Linked DNA regions of Rhinolophus ferrumequinum. The protein of the gene in region 3 interacts with the protein of the main gene of each other region in a biochemical or structural test. Links are inferred from orthologs where the notes say so. Each region holds a gene or a part of one and is shown on either strand. Other genes may lie near its edges. The genes, in order: YWHAB, MAPKAPK2 and ZFP36.

Evidence for each region.
Region 1: the proteins of ZFP36 (region 3) and YWHAB form a complex in vitro, tested with the Homo sapiens proteins (2 studies listed by BioGRID). The link is inferred for Rhinolophus ferrumequinum from reciprocal best matches to the Homo sapiens genes ZFP36 and YWHAB.
Region 2: of the proteins of ZFP36 (region 3) and MAPKAPK2, one has a biochemical effect on the other in vitro, tested with the Homo sapiens proteins (2 studies listed by BioGRID). The link is inferred for Rhinolophus ferrumequinum from reciprocal best matches to the Homo sapiens genes ZFP36 and MAPKAPK2.

The regions. Positions count from the first base shown.
Region 1 is NC_046306.1:12,838,202-12,846,113, forward strand, and holds the start of YWHAB (14-3-3 protein beta/alpha), read right to left. Parts: upstream 3,064-7,912; 5' UTR 2,846-3,063; intron 1-2,845. UniProt on the Homo sapiens protein: Adapter protein implicated in the regulation of a large spectrum of both general and specialized signaling pathways. Binds to a large number of partners, usually by recognition of a phosphoserine or phosphothreonine motif.
Region 2 is NC_046305.1:24,722,093-24,729,325, forward strand, and holds the start of MAPKAPK2 (MAP kinase-activated protein kinase 2), read right to left. Parts: upstream 2,815-7,233; coding exon 2,554-2,814; intron 1-2,553. Other genes in the region: proline-rich proteoglycan 2-like, read left to right, coding at 2,813-3,185, 4,315-4,361. UniProt on the Homo sapiens protein: Stress-activated serine/threonine-protein kinase involved in cytokine production, endocytosis, reorganization of the cytoskeleton, cell migration, cell cycle control, chromatin remodeling, DNA damage response and transcriptional regulation.
Region 3 is NC_046298.1:38,567,885-38,575,690, reverse strand, and holds ZFP36 (mRNA decay activator protein ZFP36), read right to left. Parts: upstream 3,042-7,806; 5' UTR 2,942-3,041; coding exon 2,918-2,941; intron 2,101-2,917; coding exon 1,147-2,100; 3' UTR 511-1,146; downstream 1-510. UniProt on the Homo sapiens protein: Zinc-finger RNA-binding protein that destabilizes several cytoplasmic AU-rich element (ARE)-containing mRNA transcripts by promoting their poly(A) tail removal or deadenylation, and hence provide a mechanism for attenuating protein synthesis.

The DNA.
Region 1 (7,912 bases), on a different chromosome or scaffold from region 3:
TTCAAAAATAACCAAAATTCCTGTTCAAACACATTTATTTTAAAAAGACACATGTAAAGAAAAATTAAGGATGAAATGAAATCTTCACACAAAAGATATACACATGTTGTTTTACTACGAGTAGAAATCTATCTTTAGAGCCAGACTGCCTGCTTTTGATTCCTGATTCCAGCACTTACCGTTGCTGTGTGTATATCCCTAAGAAAATTATTTAACTTCTCTGTGCTTTGGTTTATTCATCTGTAAAATGGGGCTAACAGTACATACCTATCATTGCTTGTTATGAAGGGTTATTAATATGTGTAAAGTATTTAGAACACAGCTTGGCACATAGTGAGCAACATAAGTGGTAGCTATTAGTATTATAAACTAATTGCTTGATGCAACCTCCTCAGTTGGCGAATAAATCACAAATGGATAGACTCTATATGTGTTCATACTATATAGCATATATGCATATATCTTATCTATACATGTATATGTACACCCATTTATATGGTCAAATAACCTTTACACAACACCTAGTACACAGCCCATATCCTTATTTGATTACTGAGTTTCCCACAAGAATTCATTAAAGGCCATTACCATTTGCATGAGAAAATGGGCTCAGAAAGACTAGAGATGCTATACACAAAATACGGTTCTATAATAATACTCTGTCATTTTTTAAAAAAGCAACATGCGTACACAGAGGAGTTGGGTCTCATCAGAATGCAACTGGAGGAAAAAACAAAGCCATTAATGGTAAACTCTGTGATTAAAAAACAAAATCAAAAGCTTATATTTAACAATTTCCAGTTTGTAAAAAGGCTTCATACAATATAGATAGAGAAAGAAGAACCAGAGATTAGGCAGCATGCTCAAAATCACACAGCTAGAAAATGCTGCAGGCAAGACCTGAATCAAATTGATCTGACTCCAAGTCTAGTGCTCTTTCTGCTTGTATATCCACAGCCAAATGGGCAAAACGCACTTTTTGCAGTGGCCCAAAAATCTGGAGATTCTGCCTTGGGAACTAGCATCATGGGAATTTGCTCAGCCTGGTTTTCTGGAGGTTGCCTCCCTGATCAAGAGATCCAATTCTAAAATGGCTTCAACATAACACAAGCACTGCATCATGGGAAACACACAGAAGATTATAGGGTAGGAGCCATACCATACTCCAGGGACTGACAGTCCATAAATATTTACTACTGATGAATGAAGACATTCAGTCTGAAAACCAGGTGTGTGTGGTCTAGGCCAAATCACCTCACTTCCCACAAAGACTCCATCTGTAAGATGGGTGAATGGTTTCTTATCTCATGGAAAGTAGGGGCCAGGAAAATAATTCAGCATTTGCTACTGGATTATTAGCCTTCTATTTTGAAGACTACCCATAAAATTCTAATTTGAGTCCAGTGAAACAGACAGATTTTACTCTCACCATCTTGTGTGCTGCTAAGGACATAGAGCCAAGAAAAATGAGGGTTCAGGCAAGTGAGACACAATTCCTAAATAAGAAATGGGGTTCACTGAAAGTGTTCAAGGAGAAAAATCACTACAAACTAAATAACACTTTTACATTTCTAACGGGAAAATGCAAAAAGCTGCGTGACCATGTGTCCTGTTCTATAAACTGCATGTGTGTGGTTTCATATGAACAACTGAAGACAATGAGAAATGCAGACAATTTTTATATTCTCACAAATGCTTCGTCTTTCTGTTCAGGCTCTTGCTGCCACCTAATTTGCTGTGTTCATAACATCATCTTTCCAAATTCCATCTCCCACACATAGCAAGTCAAACCAGAGCCTGATGCTTGCTATCTAGCCTTACCAAAGTGAAAAGCAGTGACAGCAAGGACAAGAGACATGGATTTTTACAGAAAGGTTGGCAAATTGTCTTACCAATACTGCCACCTTTGAAAACCCCATTGCATCGGAGTTCTCCATTTGCAATAGACGAAGATGTACTCATCTTAGGTAGAAAAGGGGTCCAAATCACTCCTACTCTTCCCCACCACCAGAGAGGCCATCAGGGCAAATTTCAGTCCTAAAAACATACTAACACACAGCATGAGGGAATTTGGGGCGAGGACACAAAAGACTCTGGCATTAATGACGGTAGATACCGTGGGAAGATACTCGGTACTCAGCCTTTTACATTTTTTCTCCTGGGGATCCGGCCTGACTCAGTAACCGGTTCCAACAAATGCATTTTCTTGATTCAAACCTCAACCCTAGACTTCCCAGGGAACCTCGGATTCTGCCAGGCTCAAAAACCAGCGAACGATGATGAAATAAATGGCTTTACTGCAAAGTGGGAGGGGGTTTGCTTTCTGCTCTCTCCCAAGGTTAAACCCCTTACCCATCCAGGGAGAGTGAAGCAGGAGCAGTGGGCCTCGAGAACTCGTCGGCCTTTGGTTCAATTTTAATTGCTGGAAGCCAGAAAGTAATAAGCAGGGGTGACAGGGCTGAAAAGGTCGGATCTCCGCGCCCGAGGAGCAGGGAGGGGTCGCGCGGGGATCGAAACTGGGCAGTGAGGGAGGGCCTGAGGTCCGCGGCTGGAAGCCCATTCCCGCCCGGTACGGAGCCGCACCCCGCCCGCCGGGCAGGGCCGCAGGCGGCGAGGGCGGCCCGGGCCTCTCCGAGAGCGAAGGGCCCGGCCCCGGAAATAGGGAGGGGCCGCGGCGAGACCAGGCCCGCGCCGCAGGCGGCCGCGCGGGGCCTAGAAGGCCGTGCGCGCGACCCTAGAAGCCCACCCGCGGGGTCGCCCTGGTGGTCGTCGCCGCCGCCGGGGAGGGGGGGAGCTTTGGCCTTGAGCCCCCGGGGGCCACGGGCGGACCCCGCGCCGCACTCACCGTGGGAGGGCTGCAGGGGGCAAAGACGCTTGCGAGAGGAGCTCCGAGCGCGGTGACCGCTTTCTTCCCAGGCCCACTCCTCAAGCGGCAGCGGTAGCGGCGGCAGCGGCGGCGGCAGCTGCAGTGGCGGCGGCAGCAGGCACCCCGGCTCCGGAATCGGCGGCGGCGGTGGCGGCAGCTCCACTTCCGCTCCGGTCACCACTTCCGCTCCGTCCCGAGCTCCGCCCCGCCCCTGCGCCTTCTCCTCATTGGGCGAGCGGGGCACGGGGTTGCCCCGGCCGCGTGAGAGGGGCGCTGACAGAGGGTGGAGGAAGCGGAGCAGGGGACCTGGATGCGGCTGCCGCCGGAGGGCGGAGGGCCGGGGCCCCGAGCAAGGAGGAGGCGGGCGGTGGGGGACGGAAATGGGGGCGGGGGAGCGGAAAGAGGAGGTAGGAGGAGAGGGGGCGGGTGGGGGGAGGGTCAAGAACTGGGATGTGCTGGAACGAGGAAGACTGGGCGAGGTTTGGGGTGGGGCGGGCCTGAGGCCCACTCTGTTTAGGCTAAACCTCGAGAGGGCCAGGCCCAAAGATTCCGAGGTCATCGGTTCCCACCCCACCCTAGAAGTAATCGCCATGGGGTTAGAGGTTGAGGTCAGTCCCCTTTTGCGCTGTCCTTTGGAAATACTGGATCTAGGGATGGACAGAAATTGCTCATTCCTAAATTTTTGCTTAATCCTGTCTTCAGTCCTTCAAGGTACTAATCATTTCCTCTTTTTTGGACTGAAGAGGCCATGAGGATCGAAGGTCTTTTTCCCTTTTTTTAAGCCTGTGTTGATAATCTCGTAATTGAACACCCCCCTTTCGAGCTCCTAGAGGAAATTTAAGGAAAGGAAACAGGCCCCCACAGCCCCCACTCGCATGACTGCACTCACCGTTATCAACATTGATCTGTTTCTTCCAAGGCAGTTGACTCTTAAACACAGTTCTTCAAAATGCCTCTCACCTGCTCGCCCTCCCTTTCATTCATTCTTTCAATAAATATTTATTGAGCAGGCTGTGTGCTGATTGTTGGAGACACAGCAAGAACACCACAGGCGGGGCCCTGCTGTCTTGGAATTTACAATCTGGTAGGAGAAAAAACAAAGTGAAGACGCCTTTGTCACCTCTTCTTTACCCTGACTCACCTTAATGATAGACTTCTAGCTCATCACCTTACTCTGAGCCCTGCCTCCATCAACTGCCAAAGTGATCTTTTTAAAATGCCATTCTAATCCTGTTCCTTTCTTGCTTAAATCCTTTGGTGATTAGTCAGACAGACCTAGAAGACAATTGGTAGGCCCCTTGAGTGCGACAATCAAGGTTCTCCAGAGATTGCCCTTACCCTGTACCCTTTTCCTGCTCTTTCTCCCCCATCATAAAACCCCAATTCAATTGGATGATTCCTTCTCCTCCCAAGATAACGTCCAGTATTTCTAAATCATTTGTGTGTTAGTTGCCAAGTTTTTAAAGACAGAGATTTTTGTGTGAACAAAAATGTGCATCTCTGCCTTGTCTAGCAACATTTGTGTGTGGGAACAGTTTGCTGAAGGCAAGGAGTGTGGCTGCCTACTCTAGGTCAGACATGGACTTTTCAAAGTGCCAGGGTCCCCTCCTGACCAAGTCTGCTTTCCTCATTCTTCTTGTCTGTCATATAGGTGTTTGTGCCTGTCACTCCTGTGCTATACCACCTTTTAACTTGAGCAAGCTTGAACATTGTGTAATGTAAACAGCACGAATGTGACATCAAAACCACAGGATGGTTTGAACCCCAGAAAAGTTTCCCAGTGCAAAAACTTCCCCATGGGGATCTATCTTTGGCAAACCAAAGGTCAGTAATCCAGAGACTGCTCGGGTTGAAATAAGCCTTCATGAAACATGACTGTGCCTTATGCCCCCATCCAGAAAATAGCCTAGTGGGTCACAGGGCTCATGATGGTTACACCACAGATGACATCAGCAGTGTACTGAGGGAACAGAAGTGCCCTTTGCCAGGCGTCCCTGGGTGCCTGCTAACGGGTTGCATGGATAAGCTGCTTTCACCATTTCTGCATTCTAGGCCATTGGTCAACAAACCACAGCTATTAACCGACAGAGACACAAAGAGATACTAACATACAAATGTGGCAGATGCAGCCATAGGAATATATATGCCCAGGGTATTATGGGAGCCGGAGAAGGGCACCTAACTCATCCTGGGAATGTGGTGGGGGAGCAGGCAGGACTTCCTGAAAGAGGTGATAGTTGAGCTTTGGATTCCATAATGAATTTTTTGTTAATTTAGTAGACTATTTTTTTAGAGCAGTTTTAGGGTTACAGAAGAATTAATCCGATGGCACAGAGTTCCCATAGACTCAACCTGTCCCCACCCACAGACTCCCCTGCCATTAACACCTTACATTAGTGTACATGAGTTACAATGGATGAACCAATATTAATACATTATTATTAAAGTCCATAGTTTACAGTAGGGTTCATTCTAGTCTATGGATTTTGACAAATGCACCATGTCAGGCACCTACCATTACAGTATCATATAGAACAGAGTCACTGTGCGAAAAATCTTGTGTGCTTCAACTATTCAGACCTCACCCTCTCACCCGAACCCTTGGCAGTGACTTTTCATTTACACTGTCTTTGTTTTGCCTTTTCCAGATGTTGTATGGTTGGAATCATACAGTATGTAGCCTTGACTGAGTTAAAGCAATATGATTTACGATTCCTCCATATCTGTATTGTTTAAGAGCTCGTTTTTTTTTGTCACCGAATATTATGGCATTGTATGAATGTCCCACAGTTTGTCCTTCTTTCTCCCCTTCCTCCCTCCCTCCTTCCTCCTCTCCCTTCCCTTCCCTTCCTCCTTCTTTCTTTCTCTCTCTCTCTCTCTTTCTTTCTTTCTTCTTCCCTTCTTTCTTCCTCTCTTTTGCTTTTTATTATGACCATTTTCAAACAAACTCAAAATTAGAGAGAATAGTACAATGAACTCCATGTACCCATCACCCAGCTTTATTTTACTATTTATCTTTTGCCTTTTTTTTAGGAGTATTTCACAGCAAATCCCAGACATTATATCATTGAATTTGTAAATACCATTCAATGTAAATACCATTATATCATTGAATTGTAAATACCTTAGTTCCATATGTAGCTCTAACAGGTAAGAATTTTTTTAAAAAAAATAACCACAGTTCCATGATCACACTTAAGGAAATTAACAATTCCTTATTCTCTTATAATACATGGTCCAGGTTTGATTTTCCCTAATTGTCTTAAAAATTACTTTTTACATTGGTTTATTTAAATCAGGATCCTAATAAGCTCTACACATTGCATTTAGTTGCTAAATCTCTTAAGTGTCTTTTAATCCATCACAGTTAACGCTTCCTCCTTTTTTCTTTATATGATTGATTTGTTGAAGAAACTGGGTAAATTATCTTATCACAGTCTGAATTTGGCTATTTGGTTTCTTGCAGAGTTTTAAAAATGTGACCCTATCCCTTGAATGTCCTATAAACTGGCAGTTATATCTAAAGACTTGATTGGATTTTGGCTCAATTTTCGGCAAGAAAATTTTACAGGTGGGACTATGTTTCCTATTGCTTCATACCAGGAGGCATATAATATCTAATTGTCACTAACAGGCTCTTTTAATCTGAAAACCTATTTCTTTCAGTTCTGGGATATTTTTGTGGCTTATTTCCATGAAGATTTCCTTCCTCCACCTCTCTATTTTCTTTGTCTTCGCTTTCTGGAACCCCAATTATTCAGATATCTGAGCTCTTGGAATGATTTTCGAATTATACTGTTTTTTCCTTCCTCTCTCTTATTATTTTATCTTTTTGTGTTTGGGTTTACTTTCTGAACGTTATCATCCAACTTGTATTTAGTCAGAGTTCTGTGCAGGAGACAGAAGCAGAAACCACTCTAGGTATTTTAAGCAGAACAGGATTTAATAAAGGGAATTAGGTGCTTGCAGACTCATTAGAAGAGCTAGAATTGCCTAAATCAGGTGGGACTTTGTTTCAAAGTCACCATAGCTGTGATTGAGAGGTCAGAGTTACTACTGCTACTCCTGTTGCAGCATCATAACTTCCTGATCACACAAAGCTGGGGACTGGGCACTGGACCGGGGAATCTGGCCACTGACCTTTGGCTCAGTAAAGTAAAGTTCAAAGACAAGAGGGCTGCTGTTTGGATTGAATAAGAAGTTGAAATTGAAGGGTAGCCTATGACATGTCAACTTGCGTGAGGTTTTTGATATCCATCCCACCAATTTTGGCTTTTCGTTTTAATGGGACAAAGGCTGAAATCCTGACTCAGAAAGGTCTATCGGTGTATCAGAAAAAGAGCTCCCATAGTTCTCACTAACTTTGCCAGACAAGGGTAAGCTGTGTCAAGGAGACCAGCATTCTCCAAACTCACTGAATTGAATTTTGGCTACATAATCACCTTTGTTTTCATATAAATGAGGTCATTTGAAAGGTAGATATCATTAATGTAAAAACAAAAGATGAATCTGTATTTCTGTTTCATGATAGCTGAACCAGAAATAAGTTTCACAGTGTGTCTAGGCTTTGCAGATTTCTGCCTGTAGAGAAAGTGGCAAAGCGTTGTCATGCTCCAGTACTTCCTCTAGCTTTGGAAAGTGCACACAGCTATTCACCTCCAGTCTCTTTCTTCAGAGTGCCAGCTGGGCAAAAAGAACCATGAATTTATTGGGTGTTTGTGTGTGTGTATTTTAAGAATGATATTTTTTAGCATTTAAGTAAGAAAACGCCTGCTGTATTCATTTTAAATAATGCATTTTCATTACATGGTGATGCATGAATATATTTTAATTGTAAGAAAACTAAACTATTAAAGATAAAAACTAAAGTCCCCTGTGATCACCACCGCACCAAGTCCGTTTCTCCTCCCGAGAAAGTAACCAAGTATCAATTACATAGGAGGGAGCATTAGATTATGCTGTGATAACAAACATTCTTAAAATCTCAGCGACTTACAACAACAAAGGTTTATTTCTTACATGTTTGTCATGGGTTGGCTTCAGCTG
Region 2 (7,233 bases), on a different chromosome or scaffold from region 3:
TAGGGCTAAAAGATCACAGACCACAGATAGGGAGCAGGGCAGCTGGGCAGTCACCACCGCCTATCAACTCTCAGAGCTGTGACACAGCAGAGGCCATGCTGCTGCCCTACAGCTCTGCTCTCTGCCCCAAATCCCCAGGAATGACCTGACATACTGTGTACAGTAAGAGTTCTCCTCCCTTTTCCCTCAGGCGGTTTCCAGATGGGGTAACCCCTCCTGCCCCCCACCCATCTTCCTCCCTTGCTTTATAATCAAAACACTACTGGTTTTGAAAATCACTTCACTAATCAACACCTAAGGTTAAGTTAATCAAGATCCAAGATCTATAAATCTCTTTGGTGCATGCCTGGAACAGGATTCTTTGAACCAGATTCCCCCTACAACTGTAATTATGTCTTAGCCAATATTTGGATATGAAGTGCTGTTGACACTGCTGTCAGTCTCTGAATGTCTCATCCCTTCTTTCTTCCTCTATTATTAAGTTTTTATACAAAGATGTGTGGGGAATCTATAATATAACAGTTGAGTCAACTTGTAAGATCTGGGAGCAGGCTGCCTATCAAAACAGATTCTGACTTCAGTCTTCACCCACTCCTAACTGGAGAAGAATAAACTATGAGCATTATTTAAAATACTGCTGGATTTTCGCTTTCAGAACTATTCAAAAGGCGGTAATATCCAAATCTCTCTTCTACTAATTACAACAGAAATCTGTATTGCCAAACAAAAGCATCTTAGAGGGTGGTTTTGTGTGGCTATGAAATAGAATAAGGAGAAGATGAGAGCTTTTGTTCTGAAGTCTTTACACAATATTCCAACTCTCCAAGAAAATGAGTAGCCAGTGTCCCCAAACTGCTGATGGGTGAAGGCAGATGGCATTTCAGAGGGGACAGAAAATTCTCCTGGAAAGAAACATCAGTCACTTCCTCAACTCCACTGCCCAAGGTCAGAGCCACGGTCAAACAACTATTCCCCTCCCTGCCCCCAGTTATAAGTACAGAAAAAGTGGTCTAAGGCACAAAAAGTATTAAAATGTTCAAGAGACTAATATATTCCTTCTCCAACAGTCTAACACTAAACACTAACCAAAACCCCATAGTAACACCATAAAGTAGAAACCAAATAAAATCTGAGCGTTGGAACTAGTTGAAAGCTCTCTCCAAAAAAGGTAGGTTGAAAGCAGCAAGAAAATAATTTTAGAGATCTTAAATCTGGAAATCGGACATGCTTACCCTCTATAAACCTGAAGTACCTACCAGAGTTGTATTACAGCTAATTATATATTCAACAGTTTCACCCATAACACATATCTCAGTTTTGTATTAATAGCTGAAATACAGCTAGCCCTGCGGGTTGAGGGGGAAGAAATATAACACAGGAAGTAATTTTCTCCTCCTCCAATCATTAAGACACCTCAGGGGAAATAGGCCTGACATACCACCTTTAGAGATGTGGTTTAATCTGTAAACCCTCGGGAGGGGAAAAACGTCTGTAGTGACTCTGAACACTGGCTACCATTGCACGGGGACCCACGCACCTCATCAACCTCCAAGTCTATTCTGTTTAACTTCTGGAGTAGGTATTCTCACTGAAATCCCCGTTCTCCCTCTACCAGACCCACTCAAAAAGAAAAAGAAAAAAGAGGTTGGGTTTCCCCAACTCAAGGATAACGCTCCCTTCCCACTGTCCAACAACGGTCCACATCCAGGACTCAAGTGGCCACCTCTGATCTGCGGAATCAGTACTGGGCCATGCGTGGTCTGCAGACCGGGTTTACAACGATCACTGGAGCTATGGACACAGCGGACGCCGTGCGGGAGGCTGCTGGCCTCCCACCCGGAGCCTCACTGCACTTAAGGTAGGAGGGTCCCTACTCTAGGATCAAAAGAATCCCTCCTGCCCCCGGGGGCAGCGGCCGAGCGGAATCCCCAGCCGGGCACCTACCTCCGGGGCCCGCACGACGCTAGGCGGCACCGCCGCACTCGCGAGGCTCAGGGAAGTGAAATCACACACTCCGGCTCCCAAATAAGGAGCGAGCCTAAATAAACTCTTGAGATCCGACTTCTCAAAACCAACCGACCAACCAGCTCAATGAGTAATGGGCCTTTTGTGCCCGCAGAAAGAAAGGAAGGAGGAGGAGAGGATGGGGAACCACAAACCCCGAAAATCACTTCCTCGAGGCGCGGTGAAATTAGCAGAAGTGGTCGCAAAGCCAACCGTTCCAACTCGGCTGGATCCGGCTCAAACCCCAAAATGGCAGAGTCCTCAAGAGTCCTCTCGAGCCCCCGCCACTCACACCCGGAGGTGACCGGAAACGCGGTCTCGGCGGCGTGGTCAGCTGGGCCCTGACCTTCCCGCTGCCCCCGCCCTCCGCGCACTTGGCACCCTCGGCGCCGGGACCCACGGTCCCGCAGCGGCCCGGACGCCCCGTCCCAGCAAAGGGTCGGTGCGGTCACGCTAAGCCACCCCGCGCTCCAGCGGCCCCAGGGCGCTGGGGGGCGTCCCTCGGAGCCCCCTCTGCCGGTCCTCCCTTTCCCCCGCCCCCAAACCTACTTTTAGGGCGAATTTCTCCTGGGTCCTCTTGTTGAAGATCTGTAAAACTTTCCCGTTGATGCCCAGCCCCAGGACCTGGGTGGTGACCTTGTAGTCGTCGATGATGGCGTTCTTCTTGATCTGAAGGCTCGACCTGACGTGGAACTGGGGAAACTGCTGCGGGATCTGCGGCGGCAGCTGGGCCGGGGCGGGGGGCTGTGGCGGCGGTGGCGGGTTGGGGAACAGCACCGGCGGGGTCTGGCCCTGGGAGTTGGACAGCATGGTGCCGGGAGACGCGGGAGGAGAGGCGGGAGGGCCCGCGGCCGCTCCCTCCTCGGGCTCCGGACGGGGTCCCCGCCACCCCCCGCCCGGCGGCGAAGTTTGCTCCGGGCTGGGGCCGGCTTCCCCGGCCCGGCCCGGCTCCAGGCTCGGCGGGTCGCGGGGCTCCGTGGGTCCCGCTGTGCGCCGCCGGCGCCCACCAGCCCAGTTCCCTCCCTCCCACCCTCCCCCCCGGGGGCCTGACGCTCGGAGGAACGCGGGACGGCAGGGGCCCAGCCCGGGGGGAAGCGGCCGCGCGACAAAGTACCCAGCCCGGGGGCCGGCGGCCGCGTCACAGCCTCGTCTGCGTCCGGGGCCGGTCCTTAAAGGGGAGGGTCGGAGGGGGCAGGGCTTGGGGAGGCGGGGCCGGGCCGGGGAGGTGTGGGCGTGGGGGAGGGGCTGGCCTTAAAGGGGAGGACGCGAGACATCCGGAGCGTAGAGGGCGGGCCTCGGGGCTGGGGGACAAGTGGGGACGGTGAAATCCTAGTTCTTAATGAGGGCCACGCAAGGGGAAGGCGGAGGGGTATGGAAGTAGCTGCATAATTCAGATAGAAAATCCACTTTTTTTCCCAACTGTGTGGCTTTTAGCGGCAGCCAATTGGAAGAGGGAGTGTATTTTGAGGGAGAGGGATGACAAGGAAGTACGGGCTGGATGAGACCTCGGCGGTGAGCTGAAGCCACAGAGGCCGTTCATCCTAGGAGTAAATGTGAGGCAAATATTAAATATTTTCTTAAGTTGAACATTTTCCTCTGCGTTTTGCATTTCTTTTCTCATAAATTTATTGTTTTTCAGTAAAGACATGTAACTATGAAGAATTTAGTAATTATACCTTTGAACATATATGTATATTTTCATGTAAAATAGCTTTTAAAAACAGGATACAGGGTGGGAAGAGGATGGATTGACTTTGAGACTTCCTGAAGTCGGGAGCCTTTAGCAACTGGCTGGCAGTGTGCCCCTGAGCAAGCCGTCGTGGCTGTCTCTCTGCGGGAAGAACAGCAAGCAATACCTGTTCATGGCTTGTGGATCGCGTTAACAAGACAATGTGGCAAACGGGAAGGTCTGGTGAATAGGTTCTGATTTCCAATGTGGAGAACCTAGACCCTGAATCTACAGTCATGAAAAGTGGGTATTTCTGAAGAAGCAGAGTTCTAGTCCGTGTTAGCCCCACGTCTCTGAGGAAGAAAGCGAGGATCGAGCTGGACCTATAGCGCAGCCCACATCAGGGGAGGCGGGTAGGGAGGCTCTAAATATGAGCTGCCAGAAGACCTCTATACACGTTCTGTGGGGCTTCGGGGTGACTATCAAATACATCCCTGCTGAACTTGCAGCTCTGACTAGTGGAACAGTTGAGCAATAAGACAAAAGAACCAGACAGGCGATTGCTGATAAGTCCAAATCAGACAATGGGGCTCGACCTGTGGCTCCCCGGGCCCCCTAATCCATCCCCCGACACTCCACAGGCCCCCTTGTCCGGGGAGACCCAGCTCGGGAAGAAGGAGAGAAGTGAACATCCCGAGGACAGGGGCCCTTGGGGACTGAGGCCAGGCAGGGAAGGAGGGAGGGGTCCAGTGGAAGGCAGGAGTTACCCTCCCAGCACAGTCCCTTCCTGGACCTGCAAGGCTCACTCCACAGCCCAAGGAGAGAAATGGTTCCCCTAACACAAATATTTGTTCTTTTCAAGCAGAGTTAATTTAGTGTACACCTTGACTGAGTCCAAGGTGCCATGCTCGGTTGGCCCTGCGGTGGTGAATTGTGTTAATCTGTGGGGAAGAAGACACACAGGTACAAGGCGGACAGCATCACAAGAGTGGCACAGACACAGGTCCGGGAGCAGAAGGCGGAGGGATTCACCTCTGGCAGCAGGAACCCGAACTTCCTCCTGTGCTAAAGGGTGGATGTGGTTAGACAATTCCCCCAAACCCTGACTCTTCATAGACAAAGAGACTGCCTAAGGCCACAGAGATTAGAAGACACCTTTTACCTCACTAGATCTATCGAATTGCGAATTGCATTGCGGGAGGCACACGTGGGAGATGCCCAAGGGTCCTTACCTAGGGGCGAAAGCTCCAACTACTTAGTCTCTTTCTCAGGTCCAGAGTCGGGGGCTGCTCAGGACTCTGAATTGGTCTTTTTTCCTCTGCAGAGGGTCACTAGGGGCTTCCTACTGCTTGGCATTGGGCAGTCACCTGCTTCTCTCCACAAGGCTAGACAGATGACAAGCTCTTTATGCCCTTTCAGAGGTGGCCAGGCACCATGGAAAGAATACAGAATTTGGAGGCAAATGACCTGAATTCAAGTCTATCCTCAAGTTGAGTTACCTTGAGTGAGCCATTTATCCTCTCTTTGTATCTGAAAATGAGAACAATTATAAAGTCTACTTTCAGGGCTGAGAATTAAATGAGATGGTGTTCATAAGAACTCTTCATAAACTATAAATTATCATAAAATAGTCAATATTATCATTATTGAGGCATTGCTGGCTTGCTCCTCAACTCTGTGGATCACTGCCTGCGGATGGGTCCCTGATAGTAAAGCTGCCTGCTTACCTAGATAGGTCTCTGGGGAAGTGCTGAAGCCCAGTGACCTAGGAATAGCAAGATAGCTGAAACCCCAGCTGGGAACTCCTCCCGGAGTTACAAGGGCCTATTAGGCCTGCGGGGCACATAAGAACTCTAAGGGCCTGTACATAGAGCATAGAGATTACAAAAACTGCACACAACACCCAGAAAACACACAAATATATGAACACAAACAAACACATAGGCGCAATGTGATTGACATGTAACATGGAATAAATGCATAATGCATAAATAATAACTGGGGAATAAGATGGACTAAAGGAAGAGGCATTAGGCAAGAGATGCAGAGTCTTAAGTTCCATTCCAGTACTAATTACGTAACCTCATGAAAGTCCCTTGCCCTCTCGGTTCCCTTTTTCTCATCAGTAAAATAGTAATAATAACATTTGTCCTGCCTACATTGTAGAGCTATTGTAATGATAAAATAAAATATTTCCCTTAGGATACTGAAGTCCGAAGTCCTGTTTATATAACACCAAACTCGCAACCATCTGCAATGAATTCCTTAAACAGTTTTTCTGGATGTGCAGGAGCCCTTTAAAAGTTAAAGATATATGCATATAGAAAATACTGACATGCAAACGCATATGTCATGCAATATTGTACACACAAAGACAATTTAAAGACCTCAAGTACATAACATTGGATTATTTCTAATCCTTGATTCATGACACACCTTCATCGTTGTCCAAGTATCTCTGCTTTTATTTAGTTACTAGTTATTTTTAATAATACAATAGGCACCTGTGAATCCACTACCCAAAATTAAAACTAGGACTTTGACAATAACATACATCTAAGTAGGTATTTCCTCCATTCCCCCACAACCCACCTGTTTCCCTAGCTAAAGATAACCATTATCCTGAATCCAATGGTCACCATTCCCCTGCTTTCCTTTTATATAGTTTTATTTCATAAGGACACATTAGAGGCATAGGTGTCTGCTTCATGAAAGATGAAGATCATTGTGGGGACAGAGCCCCAAAAAGCAGTTTCCAGGCTCTCGGCCTCACATAGAAAGGTGCTGGCTCAGGTAGTAAATAGCCATTGACTGTGATCAAATGGCCAGCAGCTGTGGCTAGTTGGCCGTCAGCTGTAACCAGTGAGCCATTGGCCATGAATATAACTGCCGTGGCTAGGCTAGCAAAAAAAGGGGGAGCTAGCAAGAAGATGGTGGCTGAGTCTGCAAGCGGCACAGTGAGGGTTGAGAATTGTGTTGCTCCTGGTTCCTGTGTCTCCAACCCAGCCGCCAGTGAGAGTATAGTGGTGTGACTCCCCTACCTATGGCTCCGTGGGTGTTCCTTTTTGGCCTCACCATGTCCTGCGTTCTTGTGTGGGGAGCGGGAGCAGAGACCCCACAGACCCCGCAGGCCGCCCCGCACGACACTTGGCGTAGTCGGCAGGATACCCTGCCAGACTCCCCGCACGACAAATGGCGCAGCGAGCAGGGTATGGTGTCGGCCAAAGCTCCCCAAAGGGCGGTGGAGCAGTTTGTGCGTATGAACACTCAGTCACAGGAAGACCAGGAGGAGCAGCTGCCGGAGAGCTGGATCCCCGTGGAGGGGTGGGAAGACGTGGATGGTTCCCCAACCAGCAGAGGCCGGAGAAAGCTAAGGTCCTTGTGGCCCTGTGGGCTGGGAAGTGCTTGCTGAGGCAGCCCGGATGCAGGACTTGTAGTCCCAGGAGGAAACGCTTGCTGAGTCCTCTGTGGGAGCTGAGGGTGAGGTCAAGGTCATCCCTCACCCCCAGGACAGCCCTGGCGAATGACTATGGACTATGGGGAATTGCCTTTCATCCCTA
Region 3 (7,806 bases):
CCCCCACGACTGCGAGAGTGTGAATCCCCCAGCCCCTCAGGTCCTGGAAGGCCGGGTGGTGGGCCCCAGGCCACCCCGGCTTCCGGGCTGACCCTCCCCCCGCCCCCGCCCGCCCTGGGCTCGCGCCCCGGCACATTCCGTCCTCCCCGCACCGCCCCGCCCTCCTCCCTCAGCCCCGCGGGGATGGAAACATCCCATCCGCGCCCAGCTGAGAGCTGGGTCAAGGAGCCCGACAAGAGGGGAGCGCCTGAGCCCCCGACGCCCCGGGAACTGGCTCTCCTGGTTCCTACCGGGTGACCTCACCTGGCCCCGCCCCCTCAGGTGAATGGCCAGGTCAGGTGACGTCACTTCCTGCCAGGTAAGCGCGGCTGGTGGCTGTGGCTCCGGGAAGGTTTGAAGGAACTGTGTGAATCGACTCAACCCGCTTCTAAAAAGGGGCACACCATCCTCCCCACTCTCACTGCCTCTAGATCGCAGGAAAGCCAGGATTCCAGTTTACACATAGATGCCTTTTATTCAAAAATTCAAAAAAACACAGAAAAATAAACTTTTAACAATATATATTACTTAATATATTATTATAGTACACTTACAACAATAATTATCCATCGTTTCCAATATTACAAAAAGGAGGAAGAAAAATACAAGGGAAGCAGACGACCCAATATATATAAATACTATAAAATCTATTAGAATAAATAAAGTCGTCATAAATAAAGGGCCCAATGATTGGGGGAGGGGGGTTGGCAACGTTTTGGCTACTTGCTTTTGGAGGGAAACTTGAGCACCAGGATTGCCCCTCATGGGGAGGCTCCAGTCACACCAGAACCTCAGGGTCTAGGAAAAACTGGGAGGGGGCAGTGGGGGCCTATTTATTCACAGCATTGGGCAGGGGAGAGGGTGGGGGGAAGAGGCCTCACTGCCTCCCTTAAATTTGCTACATCTTTTTTAATACAAAGACTTCAGAATACACTCCTTCCCCCAACACCATGAACTTGCACACTGGGGACCTGCCCCAGTATGGGGTCAGTGGAGTGGGTTAATGCATTTTGGAAGACGGGGGCTACTTGATTATAAGAGTTCCCCACAGTACAAGAGAAATGGCCCCCCTTAAGATCCAGCTGATCTGTACTGGGCAGGCACTTGTCACTCAGACACGGAGATGCGATTGAAGATGGGGAGTCGCCGAGAGGCTGCAGGTGGCTGGGGTGGCCCAAAAACCCCAGCCTCAAAGACTGGTGAGTCGGACCCTCCCAGGCTGCTGCCGCTACTGGCATATTCATCAGGGTCAGATCCCAGGGAGTGTGCAGAGGGGCTCCGAGCCAGGCCACCCACGGGTCCCCAGACGCTGCTGGGTGTGGCCCTTCGGCAGGAGGGACAACAGGCTGGGGTAGGGTCCCTTCGGGCCACAGGGGTCCCAGGGGCAGCAGAGAAGGCAGAGGGTGAAAGTGGAAAATCCCCAGGTGGTGGTGGTGGGGAGCTGGAGGGCGAGAAGGAGCATGAGGACAGGGAAGGGCCTGCTAGGCCTGCCGGTGGTGGCGAGGCTCGGCGGCCTGAGGGCAGGCCTGAGAAGCTGATGCTCTGGCGCAGGACATGGGGGTGGCCAGGGGCAGCCAGGTCCTCGCTGGGGTTGTGAATGAAGTGGCAACGCGAGCCATAGGGGCAGCGGCCCTGGAGGTAGAACTTGTGGCAGAGTTCCGTCTTGTACTTGGGGTGGCGACTGGCCTGGCGCAGCTCACCCAGGCCATGGGCAAACTGGCACTTAGCCCCGTAGCGGCAGCGTCCACTCTCTGAGAAGGTCCGACAAAGCTCAGTCTTGTATCGGGATGAGGTGGTGGGGGTCGCAGTAGGTGAGGTGGGTGAGGGCGACAGCTCAGGGCCTGGGCGGGGAGGCAGGGGTGCGAAGCCTGGGGGTGGGGGCACCCAGCCACAGCTCCGACCCTCCACCAGGCTGGTGGAGCGGCCAGGCAGGCGGGCAACAACCCCAGATGGGTTGGAATCAGATGAGCTGAAGCTCCAGAGTCCTGAGGAGGCCCAGCCTGGGCTGGATTCAGTGTCTCCATGGTCGGATGGCAGGTCAGGGCTCAGCGACAGGAGGCTCTGTGGGAACAGGGATCGGTTAAGACACCGAAAATGCAGGGTGACGCCTCTCCTCAGCTTCAGGGCACCTAGGAGCTTGCCAGTCCGGTTTGTGGGCTCCTAGCCTTAGCCCCACCCGCCCGCAGAAACTCATAGGTTCCGGATCGGAGGGACCCCGAATTGGAGGTTGAGTTTATTAGCGAATGAAGCCTATCTCGAAGGACCCAGGAATCCTGGGTCCCCCGGCTGGATGGAGAGGCCCCCAAACTCAGGGGCACACCAATGCCCTCCAATTTTGAGCCTTCGGGCCTCTTGGGATTTGACCCCCACTCCTTGTGTTCTCTGGTTTCACAACTGGAGGAGCCGGCAAAGTTAACCTAGCAGTTGGATCTTTTAGGTTTTGAGTCCCAGAGAACTCCTCTGGGTCAGGGAGTGGAGACAGAAGTCGGTTTCCCATCACCCCGAGACTCCAGCCCCAGAAACGCCTCCGCGCAAAACCGCGCCCTCAGCAACTACTGGGGGGAAGCCAGGTGTGGGGCCATTTCCGCCTCCACACAGCCCTAGTCTGAGAAAACTCCTCCCGCTTTCCATCTCCAAGGGTCACCCCACCCATGTTTGGGCAGAGACCCTAAAGTCGCGGGCTCCATTTTTCACCTCCAAGGAATCACATTAGTCTGAGAAGGAAGGCAAGAGCCCGGCCGGAGAGTACGGCGCTAAGGAGTTCCACTTAGAGAAGAGAGCCAGGGATCCCGGGCTGGAGTTTGCGGCGGTAGAGAGCCCTAGTTTGAGAAGGAAGTCAGGCATTGGGACCCCAGGGTACCGATCGGCGGAGACTCACCTCGTAGATGGCGGTGAGATCCATGGCGGCGCGGAGAGCCGATCAACGGTGAACCCGGCCGAAAGTAGGAGAGCGCTGGAGTGAGACTACCGCCCGGTGTAGGAGCCGGTGCTTTTATGAGATAAGTGGAGGCGGGGCCATGAGGGGGCGGGCCTGGTGGGCGGGGTCACGATGGGGCGCTTCCCGGACGCGCGCCCCCAGCGCAGCCCGCCGACCCGGGACTGGTCCCGGTTCCGCCTGGCTCCCAGCCCGGATGCGCACGAGCTGGGCCCGCAGGCGGCCGCGACCCGGTGGGGAGTTTGTGGGGTGCGGGTATCCACCCAGTTTTCAAGGCTGGAGACTGAGGCGCGATATAGGAACTGGGACCGAGGTGGGGGCAGGGTTCCTAGGAGAACTGACAAGGGCAGAGGCCGAGGCAGTGGGAGTGCGTGTGAGAGACAGACGGACGGGGGCGGGGAGAGGCGCGGAGAGCCAGAGACGGAGAAATGGAGAGAGGCAAACAGAAAAACACAAGAGACACAGCAGAGTGAGGGAGAGACATACACAGGGAAGGAGAGAGAGAGGGAAGAGAAGAGAGACTGGGTAAGGAGAGGAGAGGAGGTGGGGAGACAGACAGAAAAGACATGACAGAGACAGTCCCAGAAACAAATTCAGAGAAGTGAGAGGGAGGGTCACATAAAGAAACAGAAAAAGAGGTTGAAAAAATAGAAACAAACACCCTTAGACAGAAATCCGCAGGAGCAAAACAGAGAAAGGCAACCAACAGGCTTGGCAGGGAATTCTCTCCCGAGACCTGCCGGCCTGGCTTCGTCTCGCTCAAACATCCCAGATCCGGAGACCTTGACCGCCCTCCCCGCCCCCACTCTCCAGGGGTGGGGTCCTGGATATTTGGCGAGGCTGGAAAGGGGCCTCCTTTCCCAATTCCAGAGCCACTGTAGCCTCTCGCCCTCCCACAGATAGTGGCACTTCTGATCGCTTCCTCTAGGCTAGGCACTGTTGTATGAAAGTGTTTTACATACATACATTAACTCAAGGAGGGGTTACTGTGACCATTTTATACACGAGGAAACCCAGGCATAGAGGTCAAGTTACTCTCCTATTCTCATTCAATAAGTGGCAGCAGCCCAACACCAGGGCTTTAAATTATGTTGCATTTGCCTTCTCGGAGAACTCAAGATCGGAAAGGGCAAGATCTTTCATTGTGGTGGCGGGTTACCTTGATGGAAAGCTGTTTTGATATGGAAGTAATGGGTCATCCCCAATTGATAGCCCAATGGGTATCATAAAGGGGTGTACCTTGAGGGAATTCTAAACTTACGGGGATCACTCCCCACATAAGCAAGCCGTTTATTGGTAAGCGGTTGCCCTTCGTAAAAACATCAAGATCTGGGAAGAAAACTCGTTTCTTAAGGGAGTCTTGGTGAGCTGGCTGCCCTGAGTGAAAATATGGGAGCAGAAACCATTGCCATGGAGTGCTGTTATAATAGTGCCAAGTTCATTCTTGCAGATTGAAGTGGGGAGATTCGGCAAGGCACACCGACCCGCCTTGTCGGACAGAGCTCGGGGAAATCCCTGGTGCGGCGCCTTCTGGGGCTGAGGGGGCCTTCCCGACCAGTCCCGTGAGCTGGGTGGCTGCGGGCGGCTCTGGCACGGTTGCAGCCTCCCGCTCGCCCGTGACTCACTCGCAAGGGGCGGGGGAGGGGGCCTTCCTGGAAGCCGTGACGAGGAGGCTCAGCCCGGACGCCAGGGTTCCTCTCCTGTAACCAGGGCTTCAGTCGCCTGTAAACAGAGCCTCGAGGACAACGGGAAAAGGGGGGAAAGGCGGGGTGCCTGGCACCCGTCTCCCGGTTGGGCTCCAAATCCCTGTGCCGCTAGTAGGACGAAGGCAGCAGGAAAACGGGAGGTGGGGTGCACCTGGGGTCCCCGGAGTCCGGCTTGGCGCCAGCCTCGATCTGGGAGGAGGGATTCCAGTTTCGATTCCCTGGAGACAGGGAACATTTCCCATCCCTGAGTCAGGCTGACCCCCTCCCCTCTCCCATCTGCTGAGTCATCGGCCCAAGAGCCTGGACGCTTTGGATTGGGCGACTCTTGAAGAGGCTGGAAGGGGGTTGGGGGGGCTTTGCACCGGAAAGGACCGACCCCGAAACCCGGACGGGTGGGACCCAGGAGACCGGGCCTCGATCCCTCCTTGCTCAGATCTAGGGGTCCAGGTCTCCAAGCCACCTCTGGCTTAGACCCAGGAGAGCCGACCTCCAGTCCCTCCTAGGTTAGACCCTAAAGTCCGAACCCCCAGCCCCTCCTCCCTCCGATTTAGGAGGCCAGCTCTCCACCCACCTCCCACCCTATCCTGGCCTCAGACGTCCCAGCCCAGGAGGAAATTCAGGGCAGGACTCCTCCCCACGCCCCACGTAGCCGGCGGGAAAATCCGTGGCCCCAGCGGCGGCCGGGAATCCCCTCTGGAATGACGGTGGGGAAGGGGATGGCCGGGGTCCCCGGCGGGGTGCAGGGGGCAACTCCTGGGCGGGCAGGAGCTGGGGGAAAGGGGCGGAAACCAGAGAAGCTAAAAATACAACGAGCACTTCCGGCCTAGGGGGAGGGGAACGGAGCGCAGTTTCCAGAAAAACAAGCGGGGACGGGAAATGCGGGGGTGTGAGAGCCGGGGCTAGTGCGCGGGCGAGCGGGGGCCGTGTACTCGCGGCGGCACGTGTGCCCAGGCCGAGTGTGCGCCTGGTGTGATTGGGCGTGAGCGGGTGCGGCCGGCTTTGTGCAACTGCGTGGGCCTGAGAAAGAGAGAGAGAGAGAGAGAGAGAGAGAGAGAGAGAGAGAGAGAGAGAGAGAGAGAGAGAGAGAGAGAGAGAGAGAGAGAGAGAGAGAGAGAGAGAGAGAGAGAGTTTGTGTGTGTATATGTGTGTCGTATATTGTGTGAAGTATGCGCTGCAGGTGCGAAGGTGTGTGCCCTGGCGTGACTGGGTTAAGACCTGGGGTACCTGGGTATGCCATTGCACCAATAGGTGTGGGACACGAGCGGGCCCACTTCCCTGTGTGAGGGCTGTGTATTTTCAATCCCACTTGACATGGCTGTGAATAAATTGTGTGAAACCGCTTGGGCCTGTGACTGATTTATACTGTTTTTACTTTAACCATCTCTGGGTGTGGGAGTGTGTACTCAACCTTGTCTTTGAGGTGGTGTTGGTGTGACTTACAAACCCAACCTGCAGGTCTCTTGTACCTCTGAACCACTGTGGGATCTGGAGTGACTAAGTGTGTGTAACTCCGTGAGAGCCTGGTGAGGGTATGACTGACTGCCCTCTGCTGCGATGAGGATCTGCATACACACGTCCAAGTTGAGTATGTATAAGCATCTGTGAGACTATTGGCAGTTGCGGCTGTGTACAGGCCCCTGCAGTTCATGTGTGTAGTGAATAGTGTTCTTATGTGTCTGTGTCCTTATTTGGGGGTGTCACTGAGAACATACGAGGCCAGCATCTGGTGGTTCCTCTGTGGCCCAGTCACAAGGTAGTGAAACTGGTGAACTTTGGTTCCTGACGTCTACAGCTGGCGCATGACGGGGAGGTTGTGGGCGCACTCTCCACTCCATGTCTCTGCCAGCCTGTATGGGCAGAGCAGACACACACAGGCGCACATACTGGCACCTGGGAAACCTTATCTCTCCCAGCCAAGGCTGCTTTTGATAATGTTGAGCTGAGGGCATGGCTGAGTCAGCCAGTGATGGGCAAAGTCTGCGATGGGGTAAGAGATAGCAGGTTAAGTAGTGGTTAGAGTGCTGTTTGTGTATTCACATGGATTGTTCCTTTAGTCTGATGTGGGTTTGTCACTGGGACTGAGAGCCTGGGGACACCATGATAATAGGATGGTGGGTTATGCTATTCTCTGCTGGGGTGGGGTCTTGTATGTGCTTGTGTCCCCCAAAACAGTTTGCTGTGTGGCAGTGCATCTCATGTACACCCTTCCCTGGAGAGTGTGGTCGTGCAACAGGCTGTACGTTGCCCTCTGGGTCAAATAACCTAGTGAAGATCTAAACCAAGGGCCTCCATAACCTGCCTGGACATCTGTCCCTGCCTCTTCACTGTGGTCCAGGACTCCACGTTATTCCATAAACACACTGTCACTTTCCAGCCTCAGGGCCTTTGCACTTGCCATTCCCGTCCTGGAACGCTCTTTTCCCCAATGTCCACATTATTCTCTCTCCAAGTCTGCTTTCTCATCGAGGCCTTCATGTCATGTCAAGGATTTTAAAAGTTAAAAAAACCCACAAATCTTGGTATATTTAACAAATAACAAATACATGTAACATCTATTTACAGACCATAATGAATACCCATGAACCACTACCCAACCTAAGCTCTAACTTTCTCAATAAAGTAACATAATTCTCCACACAAGTCTTGCATGTTAGATTCCTAAGTACCTTTGTTATTTTTTTCTATTAAAAGTCTCCACTTCTGATCCCACTTTTCTACTTTAGTTTTCTTCTTGGAACTTCCGATATACTGTTGACCCTTGAACAACTAGGTTTTGAACTGGGCAGGTCCACTTACATGTGGATTTTTTTTTTCAATAAATACTGTAAATGTAGTTTTCCTTATTATTTTCTTAGTAAGTTTCTTGACACTTCTCAACTGCTATGTACCCTCAGGCTGGAAGCTGGTGGGCTGTGCTGGGGAAGGTGCCTTTTTGGTTGTACACAGATAATTGCATCATGTTAGGTGGGAATGACTTTGTTTTTGTATTTATTTGGAGATTAACTATGGGTGAGGATGAGCATGGGTGCCAAATTGACAAGGACTAGATTATAATGGTCAGTGCTTTTTTTTTTTTTTTTTTAATTTAGGAACAGTGTGTTTCTCCAGGGCCCATCAGCTTCAAGT